4 linked regions of the Diceros bicornis minor genome follow. The protein of the gene in region 2 interacts with the protein of the main gene of each other region in a pairwise test. Links are inferred from orthologs where the notes say so. Each region holds a gene or a part of one and is shown on either strand. Other genes may lie near its edges. The genes, in order: RAB22A, APPL2, SUV39H2 and CRADD.

Evidence for each region.
Region 1: the proteins of APPL2 (region 2) and RAB22A interact in binary tests that used the Homo sapiens proteins (3 or more experiments, as listed by UniProt). The two-hybrid records come from large-scale screens. The link is inferred for Diceros bicornis minor from reciprocal best matches to the Homo sapiens genes APPL2 and RAB22A.
Region 3: the proteins of APPL2 (region 2) and SUV39H2 interact in binary tests that used the Homo sapiens proteins (3 or more experiments, as listed by UniProt). The link is inferred for Diceros bicornis minor from reciprocal best matches to the Homo sapiens genes APPL2 and SUV39H2.
Region 4: the proteins of APPL2 (region 2) and CRADD interact in binary tests that used the Homo sapiens proteins (3 or more experiments, as listed by UniProt). The two-hybrid records come from large-scale screens. The link is inferred for Diceros bicornis minor from reciprocal best matches to the Homo sapiens genes APPL2 and CRADD.

The regions. Positions count from the first base shown.
Region 1 is NC_080758.1:5,347,438-5,354,829, forward strand, and holds the start of RAB22A (ras-related protein Rab-22A), read right to left. Parts: upstream 2,981-7,392; coding exon 2,945-2,980; intron 1,947-2,944; coding exon 1,867-1,946; intron 1-1,866. UniProt on the Homo sapiens protein: Plays a role in endocytosis and intracellular protein transport. Mediates trafficking of TF from early endosomes to recycling endosomes. Required for NGF-mediated endocytosis of NTRK1, and subsequent neurite outgrowth.
Region 2 is NC_080764.1:18,726,863-18,734,317, reverse strand, and holds the start of APPL2 (DCC-interacting protein 13-beta), read right to left. Parts: upstream 3,006-7,455; 5' UTR 2,885-3,005; coding exon 2,831-2,884; intron 1-2,830. UniProt on the Homo sapiens protein: Multifunctional adapter protein that binds to various membrane receptors, nuclear factors and signaling proteins to regulate many processes, such as cell proliferation, immune response, endosomal trafficking and cell metabolism.
Region 3 is NC_080775.1:15,426,384-15,434,308, reverse strand, and holds the start of SUV39H2 (histone-lysine N-methyltransferase SUV39H2), read right to left. Parts: upstream 3,013-7,925; 5' UTR 2,928-3,012; coding exon 2,903-2,927; intron 2,874-2,902; exon of another isoform or gene 2,522-2,873; intron 282-2,521; coding exon 136-281; intron 1-135. UniProt on the Homo sapiens protein: Histone methyltransferase that specifically trimethylates 'Lys-9' of histone H3 using monomethylated H3 'Lys-9' as substrate.
Region 4 is NC_080764.1:28,287,142-28,294,012, reverse strand, and holds the start of CRADD (death domain-containing protein CRADD), read left to right. Parts: upstream 1-3,871; 5' UTR 3,872-3,962; intron 3,963-5,210; 5' UTR 5,211-5,216; coding exon 5,217-5,514; intron 5,515-6,871. UniProt on the Homo sapiens protein: Adapter protein that associates with PIDD1 and the caspase CASP2 to form the PIDDosome, a complex that activates CASP2 and triggers apoptosis.

The sequences.
Region 1 (7,392 bases), on a different chromosome or scaffold from region 2:
TATCTAAAGCAGGCATTGGCAAACTTTTTCTGAAAAGGGCCAAAGAGTAAATATTTTCGGCTTTGCAGGCCATAGGGTCTTAGTCACAACTATTCAACTCTGCCACTGTAGCCCAAAAGCAGTGGAGACAATATGTAAATGAACAGGTGTAACTGTGTTTCAATAAAGCTTTATTTACAAAAACAGGAGGTGGGCCAAAGGGCCATAGTTTGCTGACCCCTGGTCTAAATCACCAGCAGCCTGTCTAGCCCCTGGAATACGGTGGGCACTTAATGAATGAATAAAGAAAAAAAAGCCATTGGTTTTGGTAACGCGATAGAAGCTGGTACCCAGGGAAGATGGTTTTAGTGGCACGGTGGAGTGGAATCGGGATGAGAGTGGGCTGAGGAGGGAGCAGCAGTCAAGGAAGTAGTGACCTCCCTTTCGCGAGCTCCACAATTTGTGTGGCAGGCTTGGGGAACGACGCTGACTTAGTGGAGCAGGTAGATTAGGACCATATTTGCAGGCTATGACCAGAAGGCAGGGCTGGGGAAGACAGGTGAGAACTGGTGACGAGGGGGGCTCCAGAGCTCAGGTGTGTAGGTACCTGGTCATGAAGGAGGAAGACACTTGCTGAGGCTGAGGAAAAAGAAATATGGGAAGGTGGAAGGAAAGGGGGCAAAAGCCCCACATTGCTCTTTCCTGTGGAATGTGAGCCAAGACTGCCCGGTGAGGCGAGTGGGACAAACCCCAGCATCTGTCAGGCTGGGAGGGCTGGCACACAGGGAGGAGGGGACGCCCAGGACAGGGCTGCAGGCCTCACCATGACTGCTGGAGCTATACCCTTCATTTTCCTGTCTCCTTATCTGATAGAGCACTTCTAACCAAGGTGACTTTTGGGTATTTCAGAGCTGTGTTTTTAGTTCTGACTCGGTGGGAAGCGTGTCACTCATTGAGTCACTAGCACTACTTGCTATCACTTCCTGTCACTTCACTTTCCCAGGCAGGTAGCGACAACGCAGGCCCTGAGGAGGATGAGCTCATGCTTTAAACATGTGGACATACCTAGTTCTTCCTCGAGGGATACTGAAAGGCATTTTAATTTCAGAAAGTTAGTAGTGGTTTCATCTCCATGCCTTCAAATGTGTATGTGTATGCCATAAAATATTTCTCTATTAGGCAGAATAGAATTCTTCTTTAAATGGAAGAAACCATTTGCTTGGAGGTTTGCAATAAAAACAGCATAGCAGCTATGTAGTTTTACAAATCTAACTGTATTAAAATCTATAAAACACAGCTTCTCACAGAGAAAGTATTAATGTTACGATATTTAAATACCAAAAAGTTTTCTCACAGAGTTGAAAACCTATAGCCAACCAATTTTACTTATTCAAAGAACTAGACACTGAAAAAATCTTAGATTTCAACAATAATGTATTAATTCATTATTACTACTAGTGCAGTAATGTGTGAGAAGGGTTTGGATCCCATCCTCCTACTTTTCAGGAAGAACTAAAACCATCTAAATACCTTTTAGTTGACATGCCTGAAACAATAGTATCAGAATCTGTTTTCTTTTGCCTTATTTCAAGGTGTAACTGCTGTTGATAGATATAGATAGAAGGTTCCATGTATATTCTAATAAGTAAAACTTGAATTCATATTTTCATTTTCAAGTTTTCACTCCTCACAAATCAAAAGATAATTTTTCTAAAACACACCAACCTTCAGTGTATTCTTTCAAAGTCTTTCCAGAGATGATGGGAACCACTGTCTCCGAAGTCACTAGAGTGTAAAACAACCATGCCTACCCCTGTAACAAACTTTTTACTTGGAAAGACTCTCAATACACCTATAGACATATATTCAGTAAACTTAATCTCTTACCCTATTGTTGGGTTGATGTTCGGATCAAAACTGTCTTCCACGAAGCGCCATACAATACTCGATTTACCTACACCTGTATCCTGAAAGAGAACGACATGGGCGAATTAGAAAAAGTTTACCTGCTTGCAGACACTGAAAACTACTTTGTGCCATAAGTTCAGGATTTTATAAAAATCACTCTAGATAGGTAAATTTTATAAGTTAAGGGATGTAAAGAAGGTTTTCATAAAAATTCAGTGGGAGTAATTAGGAGATTTCAAAATGTATCCTAGGAGGGGGTTTTGCAGTTTTTAAGAGACCTTAGGACCTTTTGAAAGACTCAAAGTTTCTACTTAGTGTGAAAAGTGACAAACTCACTTCTTAACATGTATAAGTAAACTACGAACTCTCGAATTACTTCTGAGTAATTCCCAGTAAATCCCAGCTCCGCCCTATTTGGGAAGGGGGAAGACTTTCCTGGATCTTTTTCAGTCTTTAAAGCAGCAACTCAAGCAAGAGAGCATCAACTTCTGAAAGCCTGCTTTGAAATGGGAAAGTTGCCCTGACAAGACAGGAAGCTGGAGCTTCAAACTAGTCTTTGGAGCTTCCTGATTTGCACGTCACCCCCCCCCCCCCCCGCCCCGCCTCGCAGGAAAGCAACTCTGCGAAAAGTGTCAGGGGTATCCCACAAGTTCAAAAACACCAAACAGATGGGAAAGGAGACTACTGCTGCTTTAAAACCTAAAGACCTGTCACTGGTTTCACTTCGGAAGACCTGGCCAACTCCTAACTAGTACCTTGGTAGGACACTATTTAAGAGCTGCTCTTAACCTAGATGCAATAGAGAGACAGCGAGGGCTCTTCACCCTTTAGGGGGCGGGAAGAGTCCTTGGGCTCCAGGGAGGGGAAAAGGGAGGGCCCCTCCTGCCAACAGGACCTTCAGGAGGGTGCGGCAAGGTGGGCAGGATGGAGGGACCCGGGGCAGGTAGGCGGCGTCCCGCGCGGAGGCGGGGGGAAGGGGCGGAGGGGACGTGGGCACGCCGGGGTCCCCGGCCGCCCGGCCTCCCGCGGCCCGCCCGGCCGGCCCGCCGCCACTCACCCCCAGCAGACACACTTTGAGTTCCCTCAGCGCCATGGCCCGGCAGCCAGGGGCGCGGGCGCGCCGCCGCCCTAAGTGGAGGAGGGAGAGGCCGGGCCCAGCACGAGCATCCCCCGGCGCCGCCGCCGCCGCCGCCGCACGGCCCAGCCCCGGCCGCGGGGCGCGCAGAGACGGCGGCCGCCCGTTCGCGGGCCCTCGGCCCGGCCTGTCCGCCGCCAGCCGCGCGGGAGCCGCCTCAACAGCCGGGATGGTGCCGCGGCCTCCCGGGCGCCGCTGCCGCCGCCATCTTGGGACGCCGGCCGGGTCACCTGACCTCCCCGCCCACCTCGGCAGCCACCTTCGCCGCGAGGGCGGGGCCGGGCCGGCGCCGCGAGGCTCTCCGGGACGCGCTGGCCGCGGGGCGGGCCCGGAGGCGGGGCCTTTCGCCCGAGGCCCCGCCCCTCGCCCCCGGCCCCGCCTCCATGCCCATCCCAAGATGGCGGGTGAGTGGGGCCGGGCTCCGGGGCACCCCCTCCCCCAGCCGGGACCACCCGGCGAGGACGGGGACCCCCGCCCTCACCTGAGCCCGCCCGCCGCGGCCCCCTCGTAACCCCTGTGTGTCTCTTGGTTTTCAGAGATCCCCCTGTACTTTGTGGACTTGCAGGATGACTTAGACGATTGTAAGTAACAGTTGGGGCGCCCCCGCCCCTCCCTGGGAGCATCCCACAGAATTCGGGGTGCACGGCACTCGAGCGGGGAGCTACCGGCTAGGCCCTCCGTGTTGGGACAGGAGAGCGGGACCCCCAGCTGCCTTGATCCACTTGTGGCGGTCCGTCCTCACGGGAGGGGAGGTCTGGCCGAGGACGGCAGGGGAGGATTTCTGTTGTGGGGAAACTTCTGACTTCCTGGCACTTTCCTCCTCCTCCTCCTCCTCCCCCGCCCCGCGGCGGCCCGGCGGCGGCGAGTCCTGGTGACTCCGGCCACGGGTCGGGGGGGCTTCCCCCCGGGGTCTCCACTGTCCCCCGGGACTGTCAGAGTTCTGGGGACTTGGGAGGTCTGGCTCTCCGTGTGGCCGGCCACAGAGTGGCACAGATTTCTCAGGTGTCCTGCCCACCAGCCCAGCTCCATCTCTCATCCCAAGGAGCCCGTTGGCGCCCGCATTTCCCGGGTGGGTCTCCATCCCCTCTCACTTCCTGCCCTCTCCTTCCCGTTGGAATCCCTTTAAGAACCGATGGCCGGGGGAGATGTCACCCTGGCAATGCAGGTTCCCATTGTGGTGAGTGAAGCATTTCCTTCCCATTCATTCAGCAGTTTCTTGAGCACCTACTTGTTCTGGGCCAGGTCACCTGCCGGATCCTGGACCTACAAAGATGAACCAGAAACAGGGGCAGCCCTCAGGGAGCTCACTGGCCAGGGGGAGAGCAGACTTCTAAACAGAAAATTACCAAACCCCGGGCATGCTTGCTGGTGAAGGAGGCCTGTACAGACCATCAAAATGGCTAGTGTTAATCAGGGCTTGCTATGCTCTTCCCTTCCCATCTACCAGTTTCCTAATAATAAGAGTGGGTGTATTTTGAAAACTTGCCACAGGTCGGGCACAGGTGTAAACCCTTTACACACATTATCTCTTTTAGACGGAGCAACTTTATTAAAGTGGAGTGACACTTGAAGAGACAATAAAGTCGATTGTTTAGGAGCACAGGTTCTGGAGTCAGATGGTCAGAGAGTGAAGTCCTGGGCCACTCTTTATCCGCTGTGTGATCCTGGCCAAGTCACTGTACCACTCTGAGCCTCAGTGGCCTCATCTATAAAAAGGGCATAATAGGGGTCCACCTCAAAAGGCTTTTGTGGAGGTTAAGTGCATAAAAGGTTTAGCGCGAAGCCTTGTCTGTAAGAAACACTTAGTAAAGATTAGCTGCCGTTATAATTTTTATTAATGTGATCATTATTCGTATTTATTTAACACTGTTGAGCCAGGAACAGTGTAGGCCCCCCGGGTTTACAGAGCTGAATGTTTAAGCCAGTGGGCATCCTCGACTGGAAGGAATGTAGTGTTTCTATTCATCAACAACGGTGAGCTGCTGTTAAGGCATCTCTCATTCATAGATTTAATATTTGGCCTAGCTGGAAAAGCAGATTTCTGGCTGTTTCAGTTACCTAACAAACCACCCCAAAACTTAGTGGCTTAAACCAACAGCATTTTATTATTTCTAACAATTCTGTGGGTTAACTGGGTGATACAGAAGCTTCTCGTGTTCTAAGTTGAACTCTGGGGAGGTGAGAAGGTCCGAAGAGGCTTCACTCACGTGCCTGTCGGCCAGGAGATCTGCGGGGATGGTTGGCCGCGGCCTCAGCTCTCTCCAGCAGCCTTCTCCACTTGGCTAGGTTGGGCTGCTCAAAGCATGGCACCTGCCGGCAGTTGGACCTTTTTCCCTGCGGCTAGCTTCCTTCAGTCTTTTTTGTGTATATGTACAGAAAGGAAGTAAGAGATTATATAGGAAAAAATCATTATGATTTTACTTTGGCCCTGTTTGAACAAATACTGGGTGTTTGAGACTTGTAATCAAGAAGGCCTTAAATACTCTTTAGCAGACGACTGAAGTCTTGCCCAGGTAACGAAGGAAACCACCGTTATGGTTCTGAAAGTACCCACACCTTGGGTAGGGCAGCTCTGGGAGCCTCCTGGGGCTTCCTGTTTGAGCAGGGGTTGGGGCTGCGGGATGCTGTACCTTATGACTTTACAATATAATTGATGTAATAGCCACAGTATGAGGGCCTGGGTCTCACCTCTATGCCTTACTGGGGTGGTATTTGGGAGGCAGGCATTATCATACCGTGATTGACAGCAAGAACAGTGAGTTCCTGTGACCCACTTTCTGCTTTAGCTGTGTCAGCTTGGGCAGATCACTCACTCACTCTGTTCAGTTTCTTCATCTGGAAGATGGCGTAAGAATAGGAAATGCTTCGTAGGACTGATGTGAGGATTAGATGAGATAGTACACATAAAACATTTTAGCCCAGCACCTGGCGTAATGAGTATTATATTCAATGATTTTATTATTTTTATTATTTTAATCATCACCATTCTTACTAGGCTTTCATATAAGATTTTCTCATTCATTTTTTCTTTAAAAGCTGCTACTCTGTGAGGTACGTGGGATTATTCCTATTTTACAGATGATAAAACTGAAAATCAGAGAGGTTAAGTAACCTATCCAGTGTGGCACAGCTCATAAATGATAGAACTAGCAATCAAACTCTGTTCCTTCTGACTCTTGTTCTTTTTATTTCACCACACAGATCGACTTCACGAATATTCTTAACCTAATGGTAGGGGCCTGGATGTCAGTTTGGGTGGTTCTTTGTTGTCTTCCTTGGGCATTTTTGTCTAAATGATGTGAATGTGATAACTGCTCCATTTAGGCTATAAGTCGCCTTTAGACAGGGACACAGGTCATCTTTTTTATGACCCAATGTCCTGCATGATGTAGGTGTTCAGTTAACGTCACTAGTACCGATAATGGATTATGAGGCTTGTCTGATTTACTTTGTGATTGTTAATTAAATTTGGCTAACTTCGAAAAGAAGCGATAATGAATGGATGCCTTGTTTTTTTAACTCATTCAGAGTCTTTTGGCCATTGCAGTGCAGAAGAGATTTAATTTTAGAGAATTAGCTTGCTGAAGCAATCTAAATTCCTTTTCTTGAGATCAGAAAGTGTGTGGGATGGCCTCGCGTATTGGTCCTGGTGGTGGATCGTGCGGGGAAGGTAGAGCTGTATGAGTCTGTGCCTAAGGGGCTCAAAGGCCTGTGAATATCTGGGTTTGCATAGAGCATGTGGAGGCTGAAGAGGTATTACTCTGGGTATGATTTGCTTGGCCAATTAGAATTTAAGTGTATGCCAGTGGTGGGTGAAAAAAAATGAGAGGAATCTATTGCAGATATAAAGAGACCTAAGAGACCTATAAACAAAATACAATATGTGGTCGTATTTGGATCCTTAGTTGAACAAACCAGCTATAAAAAGACATTATTGAGACAGTTGGGGAAAATTGAGCTTGGACTGGGTATTAGATTATATTAAGAATTACCATTAGGAGCCAGTCTGGTGGCGTAGCAGTTAAGTGCGAGCGCTCTGCTTTGGGGGCCTGGGGTTTGCGGGTTCGGATCTTGGGCGCGCACCGATGCACCACTTGTCACGCCATGCTGTGGCGGTGTCCCATATAAAGTAGAGGAAGATGGGCATGGATGTTAACCCAGGGCCAATCTTCCTCAGCAAAAAGAGGAGGATTGGCATCGGATGTTAGCTCAGGGCTAATCTCCCTCACAAAAAAAAAAAAGAATTACCGTTATATTAAGAATTACTAGGGGGCTGGCCCAGTGGCGTAGTGGTTAAGATCAGGCACTCCGCTTTGGCAGCCCGGGGTTCCCCGGTTCAAATCCCGGGCACAGACCTACACACCACTCAT
Region 2 (7,455 bases):
ACTGCAAAGGAAACAAACAAACAAAAAACAAAAATCAAAACAAAACAGCAAGCAAAGTGCTTTTGTCTTCACCTTCTCTGAAAAGCACACTACTTACACACAAGAGAACAAGCCCCTGAAGTATGAGCGGCAGCAGCTCGAAGCTGCACCTGTGCTCCTATCACAGCAGTATTCCCACAGTACTGGAACTGCTGCTTTCCTTATCTGTCTTCCGGAACAGACTGTGAACCAGTGGAGGGCAGGCACTCTTATCTTGTGTGTCACTACCTTCCCAGCACCTAGCAGCACCTGGATAGGAGCAGAGGCTCGCAAACAGCCATGGAGACGAGCATCTCAATCCCTAAAACATTCTGCCTCTCATGTACCAGAGGCAACCAGAAATGACACGTGTATGCACGCAGACTAGTCTTAAACGTCGCCCAGTAATAAAAAGAGGGAAGTGAACAGATGTGTCTAAGGTCAGTCAACTGCTAGTCAGCTCTTCTTGGGTCACTGAGTTCAAACACAAAAGCTCTTGTGTCCATTTAACAAACCCTGCGCAACCAGGTTACTGGAGCAACCCTCATAACTACTCTACATAAAACTAGAGGAAACAAACAGTAGACAGTTTCTTAGGATCTTTTCCTTCTAGTGATACAACACTTTAGGTCACCAAGGACACAAAAGCCAAGTGCTAGGTAGCTGGGCTACAGGCAGACTGCCTTGGTTCCAGTGTATAACGTGGGCCAAGTTACTTAACTTCTGTGCTCCTTGGTAATTTTAATAGAGAACCTACTTCATAAGATTGTTGGGAGGATTAAGTGAGTTAATACAGGTAAAACATTTAGAACAGTGCCTGGCACATAAAATGCATGCGTGATACAGGTGTTTGCTATTGTTTTCATTCTTTACACATAAAACTAAGGAATTGGATTAGATTCCTTCCAGTTCCACGTCTGAGTCTACTTGGGAGTAAAGCCAAGTTAGGCACATGCCCCACACAAGAATGCTAAATAAATATGCTCTGATGATTATCAAAGACCTTCTTGCAAGTTAGCTTCCATTCAACAACCTCACCAAGAACCCTCGTAGGGTGACATCCAAGTCTCAAAAGCAATGACAAATTCCCTACATTAAGAACATTAAATAGGAATGACAATGCTTCTAACTCTCCTCTTCCACACACAAGCTCAAAATCATAAACCATGCAGATATGATAGAATTTTAAGTTTGTAAAGACCCTTAAAGATAATCTGCTCCATGTCCTTCATTCTGCAGATGAGAAAACGGTCACAAGGTGGGGACAAGCGACTTGCCCAAATCACATGGTAAGTCAGTGTTACAGCCAGAATTAGGACACAGGTCTCCTGACTTGTTTGCCAGTCCTCTTCCTGCTTCCTCACAGCTGAGCAAATACAGTAAACCACTCAGAAATAGTCCATATTCATTTATGGGAGAGCCAAAAATTCAGACTGGGACTCATTGGTGAGGGCAACATGGAGAATCAGTGCAACCTCTCTAACCTGGCTCAGCCATCACCATGTTGTTAGGAAAGCAATATATCATTGAGCCTCAGTTTCTCCAACTACAATGCAAACGCAAATCCTTGTTCAAAATGATATCATTAGAAATTCTAATTATCTTCAGATCCCAGACAATATATGTGAGGATGGATGAAATGACTTCTACCAAGGGCTTTGGTCCCACTAAAATGCCAGTAGTCTAGAGACTTCAAAGAGGCCTTTGAAAAGTTGATCAGACCAGTGGACACCAATTAAAAAAAAATCACAGCTTGCTTACTTTTTCTTACTTGCCTACGTGTAAGGAAGAACACAAAGAAACGGGCTCAAGGCTACTAAGCACACAGCCCTTCTGACTACTTATTCTGAACTGGAAAGACACAGAGTGGGTGTAGGATCGTCCTGGGAGGACAATCACTAAGAAAAAGGGAAGGAACCAAAGAGAGAAATGAAACTGTGCAAGGAAACAGGTTAATCTCATTCTAATTGTTTAAGAGTCAAGACAGTAGGGAATCAAGAGATTTATTGGAATAACTCAGGGATGCAGAACCACGAGAGCAGATATGAAGCTGGGGAAAGGTTAATGAAGGAGAACAAAGGTTCCCCGGGGAAAGGTGCACTGAATTATGAACTAAGGCCCTCTGCACTCATTTGCTCTATTTACACATCAGCTTTCATCCGCAGAGCTCAAAGGACTTGCCTCTCACCAGTGTGCTAATGAAGTTCTCCAGTGCGACAAATGGGGCAGGTATTGTAATCTTCTCTTCACAAATGGGAAAAGAGGGCCAAAGGGAGGCCTGGTACCGCTGGGAAAGAGATCCAGGCCCTGCCTCCCATTATGGCCTTAAATCCACCAGGTCCCATCACATCAGGAGTAGCAGTAATAATAATAAATAAGATTAACCCCTTACTCTGTTATCAGACACTGTCCGCTAACAACTTTACTGGCATTTCCTTATTTAATTCTAACGACTCGAAGAGGCAGGTACAATTATTATCCCTATTTTACAGATTACAAAACTGAGGCACGAAAAGATGAAACTATCTGCCCGAGGCACTCAGCTGCTCAGTGGTGGAGCCCGAGGTGAGGCCGGGCAGCCCCAGTTTCAGCTGCCGGGAAAAGAGGTCAGGACGCAAAGGCTCCGGCCGCGGGGGTGTCCCAGAGCTCTCCGGCTCTGCCTGAGGGATGTCCCCTCCTGAGTGTCCCGGGCTCAGGCCAGGGCCGGGCGCACTCCGTCCTCGCCTCCGCCGGGGCCCTGCTACTCCCTGCCTCCCCGCGGGGCTGGAGGGGCCTCCTCGGCCGCGAGGGAGACCGGAGCGGCGGGAGGTACCTGGGGGCTGTCCTGCAACGCCTCCTCTAGCAGGAGCTTGTCCACAGCGGGCATGGTGCCGCACGGCAGGGCCGAGGGCCGGTGGAAGGATGGAGGGCGGGAGTCGCGGCTGCCGAGGCTGCTCCAGGCTCAGGCGACGAGGCGGACGCTCCGTGCCCGCGGCCGCCCCGCGCACGCTCACGCCTGGCCAGTGGCCGCCGCCGCCCTCCCGCCGGCCCTCCTCTCCGCCCAGCCCTTGGCGGGGGCCGCATCAACAGGAAGTGTGGCGAGCGCCCGGCCGACCACCGGAAGTGTGGCGGTCCCACTTCCGGCGCGCCCGCGCCTGCGGGCCCCGCAGACCCTCCGGGCCAGCGCGTGGGGTGTTCAGCTCCGCGGTTCCGGAGCTTGGGTGCTTGTACCGGTCAATGCAAATACAGCCCAAGAAGGGGAACTCCAGGGCGGACTGATAAGGTTTTATCTATTTGTGGCTCCCCAGACCCAGAAAACTTTTGAATCGAAGGAGATAGGAGCGAACAGATTTGGCTGCTGTGACTCTCGCCACTTTTTTAACGGAAGGAAAACTACTTCCCACACCACTCTTTCTAGATAAATCTCAGCGCCCCTGGAACAGCTCTGAGAGCAGGAAGGTCACCTGATGCTAGAAAAAAATGGATAAGTGAATCATCTGTGATATTCAGAAGTAACCATTTGGGAAGCCACAACTATTTGGTTTAGGCAATATAATTAGGTCTCGTCCTCATGGTATGTTGTGTTTTGTCATTTTGGAAAATTTCATAATCCCGTTTGTAGATTGGAAGGGTTAGATGATCTAGTTCAGTGTTGTCGTTTAGAGATAAGAAGAGGGGACCCAGGGAGTGGAGTGAGTTGGTCAGGGTCAAACAGTTAATGAAAGCCAGAAGAGAAGGAAGGAAAGCGGGGGAGGGGGCGCTGGGGATACTGGCAAATGAAACTCCACTTCTTTTTATACCAAAGGCAAGGGTTACAGAAGTTCCTTCTTTAGGAATCAGTAAGATTTATCCAATAGGACACGTCACCAAAATCAACAGGCAGGGTATCATAAAATTATACAAATTCTATGTTCTGTAGAAATATCTAGGTATATTAAGGCACAATCTGAATTGCAGACACCTCTGAAAGTCTGATTACAGTCTACCTGATCACTTGAAAACTCCAAGGCTGTTGTTGCCAGTTGACGCTAGGCAGCACCAACCTTTCCTGAGCCATTGTATGGCCTCCAGGGGGAAGTCATCCAGCATCGTTTTCGCCATCATATTCTTTCTTCTTCTTCTTCTTCTTTTCTTTGTGAGGAAGATCAGCCCTGAGCTAAGATCCATGCCAATCCTCCTCTTTTTTTGCTGAGGAAGACTGGCCCTGGGCTAACATCTGTGCCCCACCTTCCTCCACTTTATATGGGATGCCGCCACAGCATGGCCTGACAAGCGACGTGTTGGTGCGCGCCAGGGATCCAAACCGCGGCCCAGCAGCAGCACAGCGCGCACTTAACCGCTTCGCCCCGGGGCAGACCCTCTTTCTTCTTCTTGGATAGAAACATGCGCACGCCATGTTTCTTCCTTTTCCTGTATTTTCTATCAAGGATCATTTCAGTTAACTTCACCTCGTACACTCTCTCAGCTCTCTCCTGACTGAAATCCTTTTCCACAAGGCCAGACCCAGGCTTTTCCTTCCTCCTTCCTGGCCCTAAAGATTACTCCCTTCTCTGAACAGCCATGACCTTGATTGTCATCCAACATGCCTTAGCCATAGTGCCTTTTCTTTCTATGTGTAGGTCTTTACTCCCACTGTAAATAGTAAGCCTTTCAAGAGCATAGCATGTCACCTTCCTTTTATTCTGAATACCGTGACACATGATAACAAACACAATGTTTGCTGTTTATGACATGCTCATCTGTTCCCACTAGAGCTCAGAAATCCCTTTGGGAATCGCCACATTTTTCATGTGCCACCTCGTCTTCTAATTAAAGTTACTTTTCCTCAAATACCAGTATTCAAAATTGTTTAAACCATGTTCTTACACAATGCCATTACTTTTCTGTGTTTTACTGCTACACTACAGACTAAATAACCTTAGTGGGATTTCTCAGCACTTAAGTATCATTTATAACATTGTGTGGGAAAATGCATCCCAAAATCAAAACAACTAAGTTACAAAAGTAACTCTGAGAATACAACACATTTGTAAACTGTTAATTTATTTCATTCACTAATTCATCCAACCATTCATTCATTTAATAAATATAGAGTATTCAATGTTAAGCACTGTCTCCCCTTATTTTCCTGTCTTTCACGACTAATATTTTGCTGTCTTTATTATGACTCTCATTTAAATTCTAAAGCCAAATGTCTTCCTCTTAAACAATCTGTGAGAAACTATGTACGAGGAATTTTTACGTAAACATGAGAAAATTTTAAAATGTTTCATTAAAAAGTATCTGCCCCTATTAAACTATTATGAGGGTGGGTTTTAAACATCCACCCAACTGTATCTGAAATCCTTGGACAGTTGTGAGGTTGGGCACAAGAAGTATAAAGATGAACAATTTAGAGTTGTCGTGTCCTCTGGGGAGAGAAAGGATGAACTCTCTGGCTGTAGCCTTTTACCCATTGAAGACCAACTGGGAGAAGGACACAGTGAAAAACAAACAGGTACTCAGGAGGGCTGGGTCGGAGAAAGCCTGGGGCTCTGGGAGTGAGAGAGGAAAGTAGGAATGAGGAAGGCATCTGTTTTGAGAAGATGCTTAGCAAACTGGATAGTAGAGTACCCACATTGTATGCACATTGGGATTCTTTCCTTTGCCCACAATGCCCTTTCTCCTGCTTCTCTGTCTGACAAGCCCAAACACAACCTTCAAATCACAGCTTAATGTGACTTTTTTTGTGAAGCCTTCATTCATTCCCATACCCCCAAGCAAAATAAATCTTCCTTTCCTTCTGTATGTTTCCATAGCACTTGGATAGATAATTCTAGAATAACATCTCTATTTGTTCCCACCCTTGACCTTCCAGCTAGAGTGAGCAGGAACTTTGTCTTCTTATTTCTGTAATTATAGTGATTAGTACATTACCTAGAACAAAAGGAGTTGCTTGACAAATACTTATTAAAATGTAATGTATGTTACTATTTCTTACACGTTAGTACTCCAGAGTTTAAAAAGTGATTTCACGAATCTCATTTCATTTGATACTATAGTGCTCTGAGTTTTTTCAGGCATTCACTATTTAGCATCTACTATATGGTAGATGCTCCTCTAGAGGCTGAGAATGTAGCCTGAAGCAAACAGAAGTCCCTGCCTTAATGGAGTTTATATTCTACTAGGGAGAGAATAATAAACAAATACAAATTGATAAGCATATGATAATGTTTAGTAAAGGAAGAGAGAATGATGGGAAGTGGGGATAATCAGGAAGGATTTGTGGAGGTAGCCGACATTGGAGCTGAGAATTGAATAAGGTTAGCAGGCAAGCCAAGCCTGAAGGGAAGAGCAGGTGGAAAGGCCCTGAGGCAGGCACAGGCTGACTAGTTTGAGGAAGTGCAGAAAGGCCAGTGTGGCTGGAGTAGAGTGAGGCAGGGAAGAATGGGAGGAGATGAGCTTGAAGAGGTGCCAAGCACCAGATCACAGAGGACCTTTAGTCCATGAGAAGGACTAAAGGTCTAAATATAGCAGGAAGCTGTTCTAAATATGAGAGCTGAGTGACAGGGTCCGACTTACATTTTTTTGTGTGTGTGTGTGAGGAAGATCAGCCCTGAGCTAACATCCGTGCTAATCCTCCTCTTTTTGCTGAGGAAGACCGGCTCTGAGCTAACATCCATTGCCAATCCTCCTCCCTTCCCCCCCCCCCCCAAAGCCCCAGCAGATAGTTGTATGTCATAGTTGCACATCCTTCTAGTTGCTGTATGTGGGACGCGGCCTCAGCATGGCCGGAGAAGCGGTGTGTCGGTGCGCGCCCGGGATCTGAACCCGGGCCACCAGCAGCGGAGCGCGCGCACTTACCCGCTAAGCCACAGGGCCGGCCCCCGACTTACATTTTTAAAGAATCTCTCTGGGTTCTGAGGAAGCTATTGCAATCACTGGAGCAAGAAATTTCAAGGTCTAGGTCAAAGTCTAGGGTAGTGGTAGAAATGGTGAGAAGTAGTTGAAACCTGGACATATTTTGAAAGTAGACCTGAGAGAATATGCTGGATGTAGGGTGTGAGAGAAAGAGAAAAAGCATGTGGGAAAACGGTCCTGTGATTTATTGAGATGGGAAACACTAGGGGAGGAGCAGGTTGGTGGTGGTGGCATCAACCATGCTGTTTGAGATGCTTTTTAGACATCCAAGTAGAGGTGTCACATGGGTACTTGAATATGCCACTCTGGAGTTTGGGGGAGAGACAAGGGCTGAGAGTATAAGTCTGGAAGTTCACTAGCAAGTGAGTAGTATTTAAATCATAGGAGTGGATGAAATTTCTTAGGGATTGAGTACAGATAGGAAAGAGGAGAGGTTGGAGGACTGATCCCCAAGAAAGTTCCAGCAGCTAATGAGGTATGAGGAAAATCAGGAGACTATTAAACCATCCTAGAAGCCTAATGAGTAGGAAAATTAGAAGCAATACCATCCTAAAACCC
Region 3 (7,925 bases), on a different chromosome or scaffold from region 2:
ATTTTTACGGTTTAGAATTTTAAACATTAAGAAGAGCTTTGCTTACTTTTAAGGTTCTTTTTATGTTACAGAAATATGAAATACTGAATTGAAGTTTGATTACGTCTCTTTTAAGGGGCTAGATATTGGCCTTACCTTTACTACCTTGTAGTCACACAAGTATTCCACCTCATAATTGTTTAGATTCCTTTTGGTGATTCCAATCGATTTACATGTGAGCTTTTCTTTTCTACATAATTCCTGAAGAGTATCAAGTGAAACTAGGCAAGGCACACACCAAGCTACAATAAGAAAATAGAATTCTTTACTAATGAAATAGCTACTCAATTAAAACAAAAGAAAAAAAAAAAAAGAAAAGGAAAAACTTAAGACCTCTATATTCCCACCCTTCAACTAGCAATTTTACAGGACTAAAAATTCATATGACAAGGAACCATTTATGTGTCTTCAAGAAAAAGTTAAGCCTTGAAGAACTATTTTGGTAAATTGTCGTCTTGGATTTTCTCATGGGTCTCTATTCTACTACGTTTAACTGATGTCAATTAATTTCTACTAAGCCACCTGAACAAAATGTTTCACGCCTGTAAGCTTTCTTAAGATTACACATAATATGATGCAAAAGTCAACAGAGATGTTTTTGACTTTTCCATTATATTCTACATAGAATATAATTGTTGTTTTAATAACTGTAGATCTCTAGGACATACTTATTACTGTTAGAAATATATCAAATATATTTTAAAACAATCTTATAATTTGTTAAAAAGTAACTTTTTCCCTTTCTCTTAGTTGGACAATAAACACTGAAATCTCATTGAAATACAGTTCTATAGTCAACATACTCGTACATCATATGTCCTACTTCTTCCACTTTGGAATGCTGCATGAAATTTTAATTCCACTTATTATTTTGCCCATGCTACAATGTATTATTATCAAGGTGAATAAACCCAAGAGTTAAAGTAAAATAATGGAGTATATTTATTTTCCTAATACTCATTTCCTGTATTGTTTTTAAAGCCAAGAATTACGAGTATTCAACGTACATAATCCATATACCAAGCTTGAAGAAAATCAGACACACTCATAATCAACCTTACCAAGCCACTGACTAATTGTGCTGCAGAAGATTTTACCCTCAAATTTCTGTAAACAGTATGCCACCATACTGCATATAAAATACGTTAACACAAACAGGTTTAGAAATATGTAATAAACTTGGTTTTATGGCTAGTGTTATGGGAAGCACTAGAGAGGATAAAGGGTCCTCTGCCTCAGCCTTTGCTAGGCCACCTAGCTACATGATCTTAGTGAGGTTTCAAACATCTTTCTGGGTTTCAGATTCACTGAAAAAAATGTGAGGGTTGGAGTAAATGGGGGTTACCAAAACAAAATCTCTCAGTAAACTCAAACTTTACGTGGTAGCTCTCCAAGGTAGATGTGGTAACCTTTTCTGTTTTGAGGTGATTTCCAGGGAACAGAGAACATAGCTCCTCTTACTATATCCTTTCCCGACCCTCCTCAACTCACACGCGGACTTCATTGTCAGAAACCCTGAAGCACGATTTCCACCACCCCCCTTCCCACAAAGGACTCATAATTCTAGACCAAGAAGTGAAACAACATTTTCCACCAAAAAATTTGGGGGAAGAGGTCGCTTGCTTTGGAGTGGTGGTTTGGGGTAGGAGAGTGGTAGAACAGCAACGACCCCTTAAATCCCTTCCATTTAAACAACTTCAGGATGTTTCGTGTCAATTTAACCTCACTGTGCTGATCACGTGCAAAGGAGCCTCCTGTTTTATCTACCCAAGGTGTATTTGTCTGCTGTTCCTACCATTTTTATCTAGCTGAAGTAACGTGAGGATTCAAGACACAACCCTCGACGGGAATGCTATTTTCGAGAATAAGAAAAACTGGAACATAAAAACTGCAAACACTTGGTAACAATTCCGATTGTCTATAAGAAGGTAGCCAAAGAATTCATTTGCAAGATTAAACATTGCATTACCACTACCACCACACTAGTTCACACTAACCCCTAGTGCAAGAAAAGTTTGGGGATTATGAGTTCATAATCTACGTGGAGAGGAGCAGTGCTGGAAAACACCTTTAAAATTCTAGAATGCATTGAAGGCTCCAGTCTTTCGGAGAGCGCGACACCGACACACACCCACTTTCAGTACCTAATTCTCTCGCATCCACATGAATAACATGCAAGTTCTTGGGGGGTATAAAAATGACCGTAAGCCAGAGACTATATGCTCAAATCCCACTTTCTAGGATATTCTCCAACGAGGGATTTAGCCTCCTAGTGCGTCCGAATTGGGGTATACCCTCACTTCCTTTCTCAGCGCCCATACTTCAGCCCCTTTCTTTTTTCCCTCTGGTCCTGAGCTCACATTTCCACCACTGGGTACCTCCGGATCCCGGCTGAGGCCAGCCCCCACCCCACACGCCCCGCTCGACCACCACAAAGGATCCAGCCACGCGCGTGCCCACAGGCCCGACCCCAGGGGATTACCCGGAGCCGCGGTGGTCGCCCGAACACCTCCGCACGGCGGCCAGGCGGGGAGGGGCGTCGGGCCCGCCGGGCAGCGGGGGCCGGGCCACCGAGTCGGCAGGACCTCGGCCGGGCGGGAGGGAGGCGCCCCCGGCGCCGGGCGCGCGGGCCGGGCGCCGCTGGTGCGGGGCGCAGGAGGAGACTGCCGGGAGCGGGCGGGCCGAGCCGCGAGAAGGGTCAGGGGCCGCGGGAAGGGGGGCGCCCATGTGGGGGCCGAGGTGTCAGCAGCGCGGGAGGCGGCGTGTCGCCGCGTCGCGCTCGGGCGGGCCCGCGGGTCCCGGCCCCGCTTCCCGGGCCTCGGGAGTTTGCCTAGAGCGCGGGGCACGGTGAGGGGCGCCTCACCTCCTCGCGCCTCGGCCGTCGCCATCTTGGGGAGCTTTCATTCAAACTGGCGCGGTCGGACCGGATAGCTCAGCGGGCCTGACGCCCCGCCCCCGCCCGGCACGCACTTGGAGTCGGGGGCCGGGGCTCCGGGCTGGAACCCGCGAGGCGTCCTGACGTCACCGGGGCCCGACCCCGGCCGCGGCGGCGAGCGCGCCTGCGCCCCACGTCGCATCCCGGCGCGCGTCCCCGAGGGGCGGGCTCTACGGGCGGGGGCGGGGCGCTCAGCCGGGCTCGCGCAGCGAGCCATTCCGGGCCGTACATCAGGCCTCCGCGGGCCTTTTCGTTCTTTTACACGGGCACTCCGTGCACACTGTACAAAATTCAGACCGTAGAGCGGAGCTGTATGGTGCAGAGTACGTTTCCCTCCCAGGCCTGTTCCTCAGCCACCTGAGCCCAACTGACCATTACGTTTCCTTCTCGTTCCTCCCCTGGATCCCAGGTTCTCAACACTGGCTGCGCGCTGGGATCACTTGGAGAGGTTTTGTTTTTTGGCCCCACTCGCGGAGACTGATGTCATGCGTATGGGGTGTGACCTGGGCACCGGAGGTTTAGAGCTCCCCAGGGGATTCTAGTGTGCAGCACAGTTTGAAACCACCGGTCCAGATCAGTGCTTCTCATACGTGAATGGGCACAGGAATCATCTGGGGATCTTGTTAAATAGCACATTCGAATTAGGTAGGTCTGGGCTGGGACCCGAGGTCTGCATTTCTGACGAGGTCCCAGGCTGTGCCCGATGCTTCGAGGTCGGGGGCCACACCTTGGTGGCAGGGCTGCGTAAGGCCCACGTCCGCTCCCCAGGACAACTCCAGGAGCTCTTAACTGGTCGCCACCCACCCCGCCCCCATCCAGTCTTCACACTGCATCCATGGTGACTGTTCTCAACAATCCAAAGCAGAAATCTTGGAAGACGAAATTGCGAAAACTTCAGTGGAAAGTCCTTTGATATCTACCAAGGATTTTTAAAAGAAATTTATGTAAAAAATTACAAAAATATTTCAAAGCATCATGTATAAATTTGAAACACTGGAAGTAAACACAGAACATTAAATTGATTCCCTTATGAAATACTGTCTAGCCATTAAAAAATGTTTATGAAGGCTTTAGTATTGGGGAAGTGTTTAATATGTTAAGCAAAACAAACAATAAAAATCTATAAAATACAGTTTCAACTATGTAAGAAACAATGTACTATAGGAAGATAAATATAAAACCTCTGGGGCACGATTTCCTTTTTGATCTGTGGTTTTTACATATTGAAGCATTTTCTATAATGAGCATCTTATTACCCTGATGATAAGGAATAAAGGTCCTATCCAGCCCTTTCACACGGAAGGCCCTTTGTGATATGGTGGTTCCTGTCCACTTCTCAAACCTCATTGCTAATAATTTCCTCCTATTCTAATTCGTCACTTCCTCGAATATTACCCATTTCCTGTCCCCAGGACTTCGGTCAATCCTGTTCTCTCTGCCTACAAAATGCCTACTTTTTCCCCATCTTTGCTAGGATTACTCCTACAGACCCTTTAAGACTTAGATAGAGCCTCACCTCCTTCCCAGGGCTTCTCTCCCCCCGCCCCTCCCCAAATGTACTCACCGCCCTCCTGGATATCCTAACAGCACCCCATGAGCATCCATCCTTACTCAATTTCTTTCTCAGTTTTCCTTCTACCTCCTTGGCCACTCTTGACTCCCCTTTTTGGCTCCTCTTCCTCTATCTGACCTAAATGCTGGTGTTCCTCAGGGCTTGGCCCCAAGACGTTTCTCTTCTGCTCTCTCCCTAAGTGACTGCCTCAATTCCCATGGATTTAAATATCATCTTTATGCTTAAGATTCTGTGTTTTGTCTCCAGCCCTGCCTGACCTCTGCCCTGAGTTCCAGACTTGAACATCCACAGTGCCTAGCTGACAGATCCCTTTAGGTGTTGCACAAACATCTCAAATTGAACATACTCCTAAAAATACCCTTCATTTTTGCCTCCAGATGTGGTCCTCTCCACTGCATGCCCCACAAACTTTCTCATCTCAATACAGTGGCACACCACCCACTCACTCTACAAGGAAATCTAGGTGTCATCTTGATTCACCCTCTCCTGATTCTCTAAGTTAATTCCATTAGCAAGTTGTGTCAATTCTATGTTCAAAATATACCTTGATTTGGCCTCTTTTCTCCATCACTACTGCTAATACCACCTTAGCACAGGCCGTCATTTCTCAACTGGAATCCTGAAAAAGCCTACCTGGTTTCACTTCCACTACTGCTCCCCTCCAATCATTTCCCATACAGCTGAAAAGTGACCTTAAAACATAAAGTGGAACACGTCCTTCTCCTGTTCTCAATACTTCCCAATGTACGTAGAATAAAATCCAAACCTCCGACGGCCTACACAGCCTTCTGTACCTGGAACCCTGCCTCCCCAACCTTCCTTTGTGCCATCCTCCCCTTTGCTCACTCTTCTCTAGGACTTTTTTCACTCATTCAGAAATCTTTGATTGTGCATCTCCTATGTGCCAGGCACTGTACATGGTGCTGGGAATATAACAGGGGACAAGAAAGAAAAAGACCCTGACCTCATAAAGCTTATATCCTAGCAGGAGGAGCAGGTAACAAGCAAGGAAATAAATAACTTTAGGAAACTCTCAATTACTTCCTAGTTCAGAGGACATGCTCCTCGCTTTCTTCATATGGCTACCTTTATGGGTCTCAGCTGAAATGTCACTTCTTCAGAGGCCTCTCCTGGTCACCCTATCTAAAGTAGGTACCTCCCGTCTTCCATTCTCTCTTCTTTGCACCCTTAAATGCACTTATCAAAATCTGCAGTTACCCTGTTTTTTGGGTCTTGATCAGTTTCAGTACACATTTACAGAATGAATGTATTAGACTCGTCTGTAAATCTACTGTTTCCTTTGTTTTTCTAGTCTTGAATCCCATTAATTCCAGGGGATAGATTAGGCCTTGTCTCTTCAACATGCATGACTGTGTATACTATCAAGGACAATGACTCGCAGAGTATGGTACAGGGACCCTGAGACCCTTCAGGGGGCTCATAATTTCAAAACTATTTTCATAATACTACCAAGATGCTATCTGCCTTCTTTACTCTCCTCTCACAAGTATACAGTGAAGTTTTCCAGAGGTTATACAATGTGGATATTGCAAGAGATTGAATGAAGAAGATACCAGAATAGAGCTATCTTCTTAAACCAGGTATTAAAAGAGATTTGAAAAAACATAAAATAACACTCTTGCCACTAAATTTTTGTTTTTGAAGTTATTTTTCATAAAAATGTTACTTAGGTTAACATGTAATGTTTTTTGTTATTTAAAAACGATTATTTAAAAAATCTCTTGGTTTTGATTTCTATATGGTAAATAACTATATAACTATATAACTATATATATATAACCAATACAAACACAAACTCTTTAGGTTCACGGTAATTTTTAAGAGTATAAAGGAGTCTTGAGACTAAAAAGGGTGAGGATCTTGGTAAACCCTGGCTCTAAATGGAGAGGGAAATCAAAAGCGACCGAGAGACACATACCAGGGTCCTCAAGGGGACAATACAGCATTATGCCTCCACCCCCCCGCCCAATTTTTTTCCATAAAAACCATTGAAAACATGATTTCTGGAGGTCCATGGAGAGTCTCCTATTCCATTTAATTAAAATAATGCACAAAATGTGCTCAGAATAGTAAGCGGTCAAGAAAACTTAAGTTTACAAAAAAAGCATCTGAATATTAGTTCAAAATTCACCATTTAGTTACTGTGAGACTTTGGATAAATTATTTAACTTCTCTGAATCTATTTCCACGTCTAGAACAAAATACACACCATACTACTCTCTACATATTACAACTACTCATGGAGCCGTGGTGAGATCACAATTAAAAAATGAGATAACTTAAAGGAAATAAACAGTAGTATTGTTATAAATGTTACACGGTCACTCATTGTTATTTTAGAAATCCTGACATTTTCCCATAGAACTTGTTTTGTGCTCTGATACTTTTTTTTTTTATCTTTAAAAGCTCTTACACAGATAAAAGCTTTCCGTTTGTGATGAAATATTTTGTGGCCTCCCAAGACTTTCACAGTATTATAGATAGGCATTTCTATTTTTATATTTGGCTCTGTCCTTTAGACAATGTCAGACATGTAAACAGGTAAAATTACAATTTCATATAAGCTTTTGCTGGTAAAAGTGAAGTTTTTAAATATATATGTGACACTACAAAGATAACTGGCAAGTGCATGAAAAGATTATCAAGATGTTCACCAAAAATATCTTAACAGTTGTTACTCTGGGTGGTAGAATATAGGATGTTTTATATTTTCTTCTTTTTTAATTTTATAATGAACATGTATCATTTTATAATCAGAAGAATGTTAAAGCTATTTTCACCTTAAAAAATAAAAAAACCCTAGAAAATTTAATTGGCAAATGCTCCACAAATTCAGAAGGAAAAAACTTAGTCACCTGAAGATATAAGGAAATTTGGGAGTATATTTCATTAGGCAACAAAGCACTTTTTTCTGAGGCAGATTCACCCTGCGCGAACATTCGTTGCCAATCTTCCTCTTTTTTTTGCTTGAGGAAGAGTGGCCCTGAGCTAACATCTATGCCAATCTTCCTTTATTTTGCATGTGGGATGCCACCACAGCACGGCTGGTGAACAATGTAGGCCGGTGCGCGGGATCCGAACCTGCGAACCCAGGCTGCAGAAGCGGAGGGCATAGAACTATAACCACTCAGCCACAGGGCCAGCTCCACAACAAAGCACTTTTGATGACAATGTGAAATTTGATATGTTTGGGGAAAAAATCATGCAAAGCTGACCAATGAAGTCAGAAGTGGTGGTATTTCTTTCCTTCTTTATTGTGTTTCTAACCAAACCATAAAATATGCAAAAGATATCTTTACTGGCCATTGTCCTGTAGGATACAAAGATGACATTGTTATGTTTTCTTCCATGTAATTC
Region 4 (6,871 bases), about 9.6 Mb from region 2:
TTTTCTTTATCCATTCATCTGTCGATGTACACTTTGGTTGATTCCATAACTTGGTTGTTGTGTATAATGCTGCAAGGAACATGGGAGTACAGATATGTCTTCGAGGTACTGATTTCATTTCCGTTGGATATATACCCAGAAGTGCGATTGCTGGATCTTATGATAGTTCTTTTTTTAAGTTCTTGAGGAATCTCCATACTGTTTTCCATGTGGCTGTGCCAATAGAAATATGTGACTTTTTTTTTAACTCAAGAGTTTAAGATTTGTTGCACCTAGTTTCCAAACGTATGGGATTTATGGAAGCTATCCTTTTGTTAAAATTTCTAACTTTATTGTAAAATGGTAGGATACATAGTTTGTGTGCTATTGATTTTTTGGAATTTATTGAAGTTTCTTTGAGACTCGATTCATGACCTATTTCTGTAACAGTTTCAAGTGTGCTTGAAAAGAATCTGTTTTTCTCCATGGCTTAATTTCCACATCTGTAAAACAGGAAGAACCAAAAATATCCAACTCCTTTGATTTTTGTTTTGAAGGTTGTAAAACCAAAGACCAAACTGAAAGACAGAAAAACACTACATTTGTTCTCTCTCTCTCTTTTTTTTTTTTGGTGAGGAAGATTAGCCCCGAGCTAACATCTGTGGCCAATTCTCCTCTTTTTTTTTACTGAGGAAGATTGGCCCTGGGCTAACACCCGTGCCCATCTTCCTCTACTTTATATGTGGGAGGCCTGCCACAGCATGGCTTGATAAGCAGTGCATAGGCCTGCGCCCAGGATCCAAACCTGCAAACCCTGGGGGTCCAAAGCAGAGCATGCTAACTTAACCACTATACCACTGGGCTGGCCCCTATGCTTGTTCTTTTTGACTCTTTCTTTTGCAGACTCACAATGGGTATATCTTGACACAAGTAAATATGGTGGGGAGAGAGAAAAAGGAAAATATCTGTCCTTCCTAAAAATGGATTTGTTACCACTGGGTAACAGGTGCTTAATCCTCCGTGGGGGCACAATTCCAGCCCACAGAGAGGGACTGGACAGAGTGGAGGCGTGACCATCTGTGATAGTGATTCTGATCTGTCTTTGATTCTCTCGGGGCTTGCTGGCCTTAGATATTTATATAAGTGAGGCTGAATCTTTGGTGTGCTGCTCAGATGTGTCATTGTATGCTAGCCCGGGGTGGTGGTCCTCCAGCAAGCTGACTGATGGCAGCTGGCTAGTCAATCAGAAACCCAGCATGGTTGCTTAGGAGGCAGCATGGATGTGCATCTAAATTTGCCATAGGAAGAAGAATTTCATGGTCAAGAACTTCACCCGTAGATTTAAGTCAGATCCTTAATAGCCAACCTCTCAGGTTGTTCACCATTAGAACTCCATGCCTCTCAGCTCCTGCACTAACTCTTCTCATGCTGTCTCTCACTCTCTTGTCTTCTCTTCTGTGAACTGTCATGGAACACACTGTTGGCTCTCTACCTCCTCCTGGACATCATCAATGTCTTCTTCTATTTTCCAGGAGATCTCAAGCCTTTCTAAATACAGCGAGTCATCAAGAATGTTGATGTTTTAAATTAGGTAGTTTTACATGGCTGGCTATTTTCTGTGCTACTTGTTTCAACTTTACTATATGTTTAAGAATTATCAAAGTTTACAGTTGGAAAAAATACACTTGTTTTTCCTCCCCTAAAAGTCTGTAACCTCAGCTATGGGTAGTATCACAAGAGGTCTGCATTTTATCTGGAGGAAGACAGAGAATGTTGCTAACACTTGTTTACATACAGGAGGGCAATCTCGCCCAGGAGAGGACAGCAATTCCAAAACAAAAGAAGAGGGAGAGAGTGAAGAGAGTACCTGGAATTCAAAAGTACCAAGAGTAAGAGGTGGCACCAGAATGATTTGCAGATATTTTGGCTGTCATAAGAACAAGAGACTCTTACCGTACAGGGCTGTGTGGTGTACTGTGTACTCGAAAGCGCATGAAATCAGAGGAAACTGGTTAGAATTCAGGTTTTGCTATGTATTAGCTGTCAGATTTTGGCTAAGACACTTGCCCACTTTGATTCAGTCTTCACATATGTAAAATGCTAATCATAATAATAATACTTGCCATCCATATAAAAATATTGTCACTGCTGGTATAGTAAAATGGTATATTGGCATAGTAACACTTTAAACTGTTTACAAAAATTCGAAGGTTTTGAGGAGGGAGGTCTAGAATTGCTCTCCATTGATTTGCTTACAAAGATATTTTCATCTTCACTAGTTTCATCACTGTTGATGATGAAACATCAACACCACTAGAGGTGTTGGTTGTGAAAACCTCTATAGAAATAACGATATTTGAGGGTTTTGTCTATTACTGTCAACTAACTTTTAGCAGGTGAATGACTTTCTGTATATATCACCCAATTGATTTAAAAGTGAATCAATGAATATTTGTTGATTGCCTCATTTCATAAAGAAATGTGAGGAAGGACCCTCAATTTGACATTATTTTATCTCTCTATATTTGGATCTTGCACTTGTCTTGCCTTCCAAATTAAAAATGTGGTGAACTCAGCAGATCGGCCCCCAGTATTAGACCCTCTCTCTTTTTAGCATGTCTTTCTGTGCTTCAGAAGCTGGAAAACTCCAAACTACATGCCTCACACACCCTCGCTGCTGATGTTCTGCATGTGAATTAGGTTTCACCAATTGCATGCATCAGAGTAAGATTTGCAGATGCTGGTTTTTTTTGTTTTTTTGTTTTTTTTTTTTTTGTGAGGAAGATCAGCCCTGAGCTAACATCCGTGCTAATCCTCCTCTTTTCGCTGAGGAAGACCGGCTCTGAGCTAACATCTATTGCCAAACCTCCTCCTTTTATTTTTTCCCCAAAGCCCCAGTAGACAGCGGTATGTCATAGTTGCACATCCTTCTAGTTGCTGTATGTGGGACGAGGCCTCAGCACGGGGGGGAGAAGCGGTGTGTCGGTGCGCGCCGGGGATCAGAACCCCGGGCTGCCAGTAGCAGCGCGCACACACTTAACCGCTAAGCCACAGGGCCGGCCCTGCAGATGCTGTTTTGATGCTGCTGGCAAATACAGCTGTGGAGACCTTGTTTTTTCTGCAGGAGCATTCCAATGTCCAGTCACTTGCTCTGTCAGTGTCGAGAAAAGGTTGGGACTGTGGAGTGGTGGCTTCCTGACTCCAACTTCCTGATTATGGCCAGGAGCCAGTTTGGCAGTGCTGTTTAGGGAGTCATCCTTGGATGCCCAGACCTTTTCCAGCCTTTCCAATGACTGTGAATGTCCCCAATTTCCTATGGCAAATCCCTTTCTGTCTAGAGCAGCTAGCTGATGGCTGCAACTGAATCCTGACTGATTGACTTGTAAACTATTTACCGGCAGGCACACTGTGATATAAAGAAATGACCTTGCATTTTAGTGAAGGGAAACAGATGATAAATAAATGATTAAGCAAAAGTTTTAGTAAGATGGCGATACATACTACAGACAAAAATAAAGCTGGAAAAGGGGAAGGAGACTGCAGGAAATGAATGCGAGTGTGTTGCAATTTTAAATAGAGGGGTCATGGAAGGCTTCGCTGATTAAGGTGACTTTTGAAACCTGACTATCTATTATGCCAATTGTGTGCAAGGTACTGGTAGAGTTACTGTGTTAAAAAGCAATCATCCAATCACTCCTTTGCTTAGATAACCCCCTAAGTGATGCAACTATTTTCCATCTCCAGGCAGCTATATCGCTTACCCACAGCAAACATGGCGGAAAGGGCTTCAGTCTGACACTTGGGCCCCCAATAAAGATGGCTACAGCACTTCCTGTGTTTGCCCTCAACAAAGATGGCGACGATACTTCCTGTTCAGGGCTTTCGCCTTCAACAAAGATGGCGCTTATGGTACAGGTTCCCTAACAGTCTGGATTCCGGTTGCAGTTTTTTTTTTTTTTCCCCTAAGATACGTGTTTGCAGACGTAAGTAACAGGAATCCAGAAACCCCGTATCCATCTTTTCTTCAAGGTCCCGCGCCGTGGCGTCTGCAGCCTGGGCCCTGCTTGGCTCCCCCGCCCCCCCTAACTTGCTGGCGGCGTTCTAGAGCCGGCCCGGGGTGGGGTGGCGGTGGGGGTGCCGGGGATCCACTCTGCCCTCGGTCCGCTCTGAAGATCATTCCCAGCACCCCCTTTTTAGCGAGTCAGGTTGCCCGGAAAATCTCTCCTAGTTCTTTCTCTTCGTAATACAAGAGGGCTTCAGCTGGCGAGGCAGGGAATAAAGAGAAATTCCACATGGGCGCTAGCAGTCCGAAGTGCGCATCCTCCTCCTCCCCTGCCACCTCCCGGACTTCGCAGAGGGTGCTAGGAGGGACAGGGGCGGGGGGCGCGCCTCCCCTTATTTACCCTCATAGCCACCACACCCCCGCCCCTCAGCTCCCTGGTGCAGTGGTCTTGGAAATATGCCGGGCAGTCCTGCTGGCCACTGACCGGGACTGGCCTGTGGACTTTTTTTTTTTTTTTAAGAAAAAAAATCCCATTCAGTGACCCATATGTGTGTGGCCACGGCAGTGTTGTGATGGAGATTCTGAATTCTTAGAGGGAAGGGATGGAGTCTGTGACTATGTATAAGGTTTATTGTAGACTGGGCACAAACACTAGTAAATGTTTTTCGTGATGGTGTATAGGCCTTTTCTCATGGGGGAGATGATCCTTAAACTTCTTGGTACCTGCAGGTTTCTGGCCCCACTCCCATTGCTGATCAGGTTCTAAAAATGCCCGTGGTCCAAAGGGCACCTGTATGCGTACTGGCAGTTTCTGTGGTGGTGGGGTATCTCTGATGAAGGCAATGTTAAAATAAAAGCACTGTTTCTTCTCAAGTGTGTTAAGATGAAATGCTGCTCTGTAATCCTCAGATACAAGTTGTTTTATAAGCAGGGTCTCTGACCTCACGTTTTTCCAGATCTCTTTATTGAACAAGGAATTGAGCTAGGACCCATTATGTGGAAAGCAAAAACAGAAAAGATAATTCATGTTCAGTGTTGTTCATTATGTTTAGAAACATTTGAAATTAATTTGGCTTGGCTCAAGAGCCGTGTATGAAACACCGTGGCCTGGCACTCTGGTAAGATTCAAAGATATCCATGACCTTAAGGAGCATACATTGCAGGACCCCATCTGTAGGGGCTCAACAGCATTCCTGTAATCTGAGCTGTGGATTTTGTCTTTTCCCAGGAGGAAATGGAGGCTAGAGACAAGCAAGTGCTGCGCTCCCATCGCCTGGAGCTGGGTGCAGAGGTACTGGTGGAGGGCCTGGTTCTTCAGTATCTTTACCAGGAAGGGGTCTTGACGGAAAACCACGTTCAAGAAATCAAAGCTCAAGCCACAGGCCTCCGGAAAACAATGCTGCTGCTGGATATCCTACCTTCCAGAGGTCCTAAAGCATTTGATGCGTTCCTAGATTCCCTGCAGGAATTTCCCTGGGTGAGGGAGAAGCTGGAGAAGGCAAGAGAAGAAGCCCTAACTGAGCTGCCTGCAGGTAGGCCTTCAGACGAGCTCCAGAATTGATGGAACTGTGTCCTTTGGATTTGAAGTTGGGGTTTTAGGCTGGGAGGGGGATGGCGGTTCCTGAAAGTGAATAAGGAGTTTGGACTGAAGGCACGTGGCATTGGAGGGACGGGATGAGGAGGTGGAATTAGGAAGTGCAGGGAAGGAAGGAAGGATGAAGCATGATTGAGAGGTTCAGGAGGGAGCTCAGAGAATACATTTAGAAATGCTTCCAGGGAAACTTGGCAAGTCACTTGGGAGGCATGTTCTCATCCAAGAGCCAGGTCGTTGGCATCAGGACCATTGGAAAGTGCAGATGGGAAAGCAGGCATTAGGCCTACTGATAACTGGTTCATGGGGTGCCAGAGCTGCCGGCAAGAAGAGGTCAGGTTCATAGAGGAGGAGACAGCCTTTAGGAAGGCACACCTTACACCTGTTCCCTGGGCTGCCCTCCATGGCTAGAGGGGATAATTTGGAAGGCTGACTTAGTTTGCTTTTAAAGGTTATTGGTTTCAAGTCATCCTTGTTAGTTTGGCTTTCTTCAGACACCCGGAGTATTTAGTTTTGTAAGGACAGTAGTTTGAGGAGGGGCTCATTTTGATTTTAAGGAAAATTGGAAGCTATGGAAAAGAGAGTTCTGGTGCTGTTAGCCTGGCTTGTAACAGGAAGAAGGTATGATATGAAACACTTGTTCCCTCTTAACTCCTCCCATGACTTTTCCTTTTTACAAAGATTAAGGAGCAGAGAACTGAATTGGTGAAAAAAAAATTGAAAGTTGACTTGCGTGTTTAACAGATTTAGGAAATCAACATTCTCTGGAGTTTTTGATAGCAAACTACTATCACTACTATCAAACTAGTAGTTTGATAAACTACTCCAAGTCAGTGGTCTCCCGACTTTGCTGTTGCTGTTTTTTAAATACCAATATAACTGGTTAAAAAACAAATACCAGTAATAAAAGACCACCTTTATTATTTTTGCCGCATGGACCTCATATTCTGATTGATTTTCCAGACCACCTGTGTTAAGTAATCCTGATTAATTCTTCTATTTTTATTAATGACATATGTCTGAATATCTGATCAGCATAAGATAACCAGTTAACTTAGGAAGGCCTAGTAAAGTCCCAGTGGAAAAAGAAAAAATATTTTCATTTCCCCTTGTGGCCAAATTATAGGTAAATGTAGGTTTTAGGCTTTTTTGAAATACTGAAAATAGCTGGCCTTTGAGGACCACAGGAATTCTTGGGTTGGATTGTCTTTACAAAATTAAATACTCCAGGTGTGTGAATAAAGCCAAACTAAAGTATCTAAGACACTTCTACCAGTTTATTGAAAGCAGAATAAATA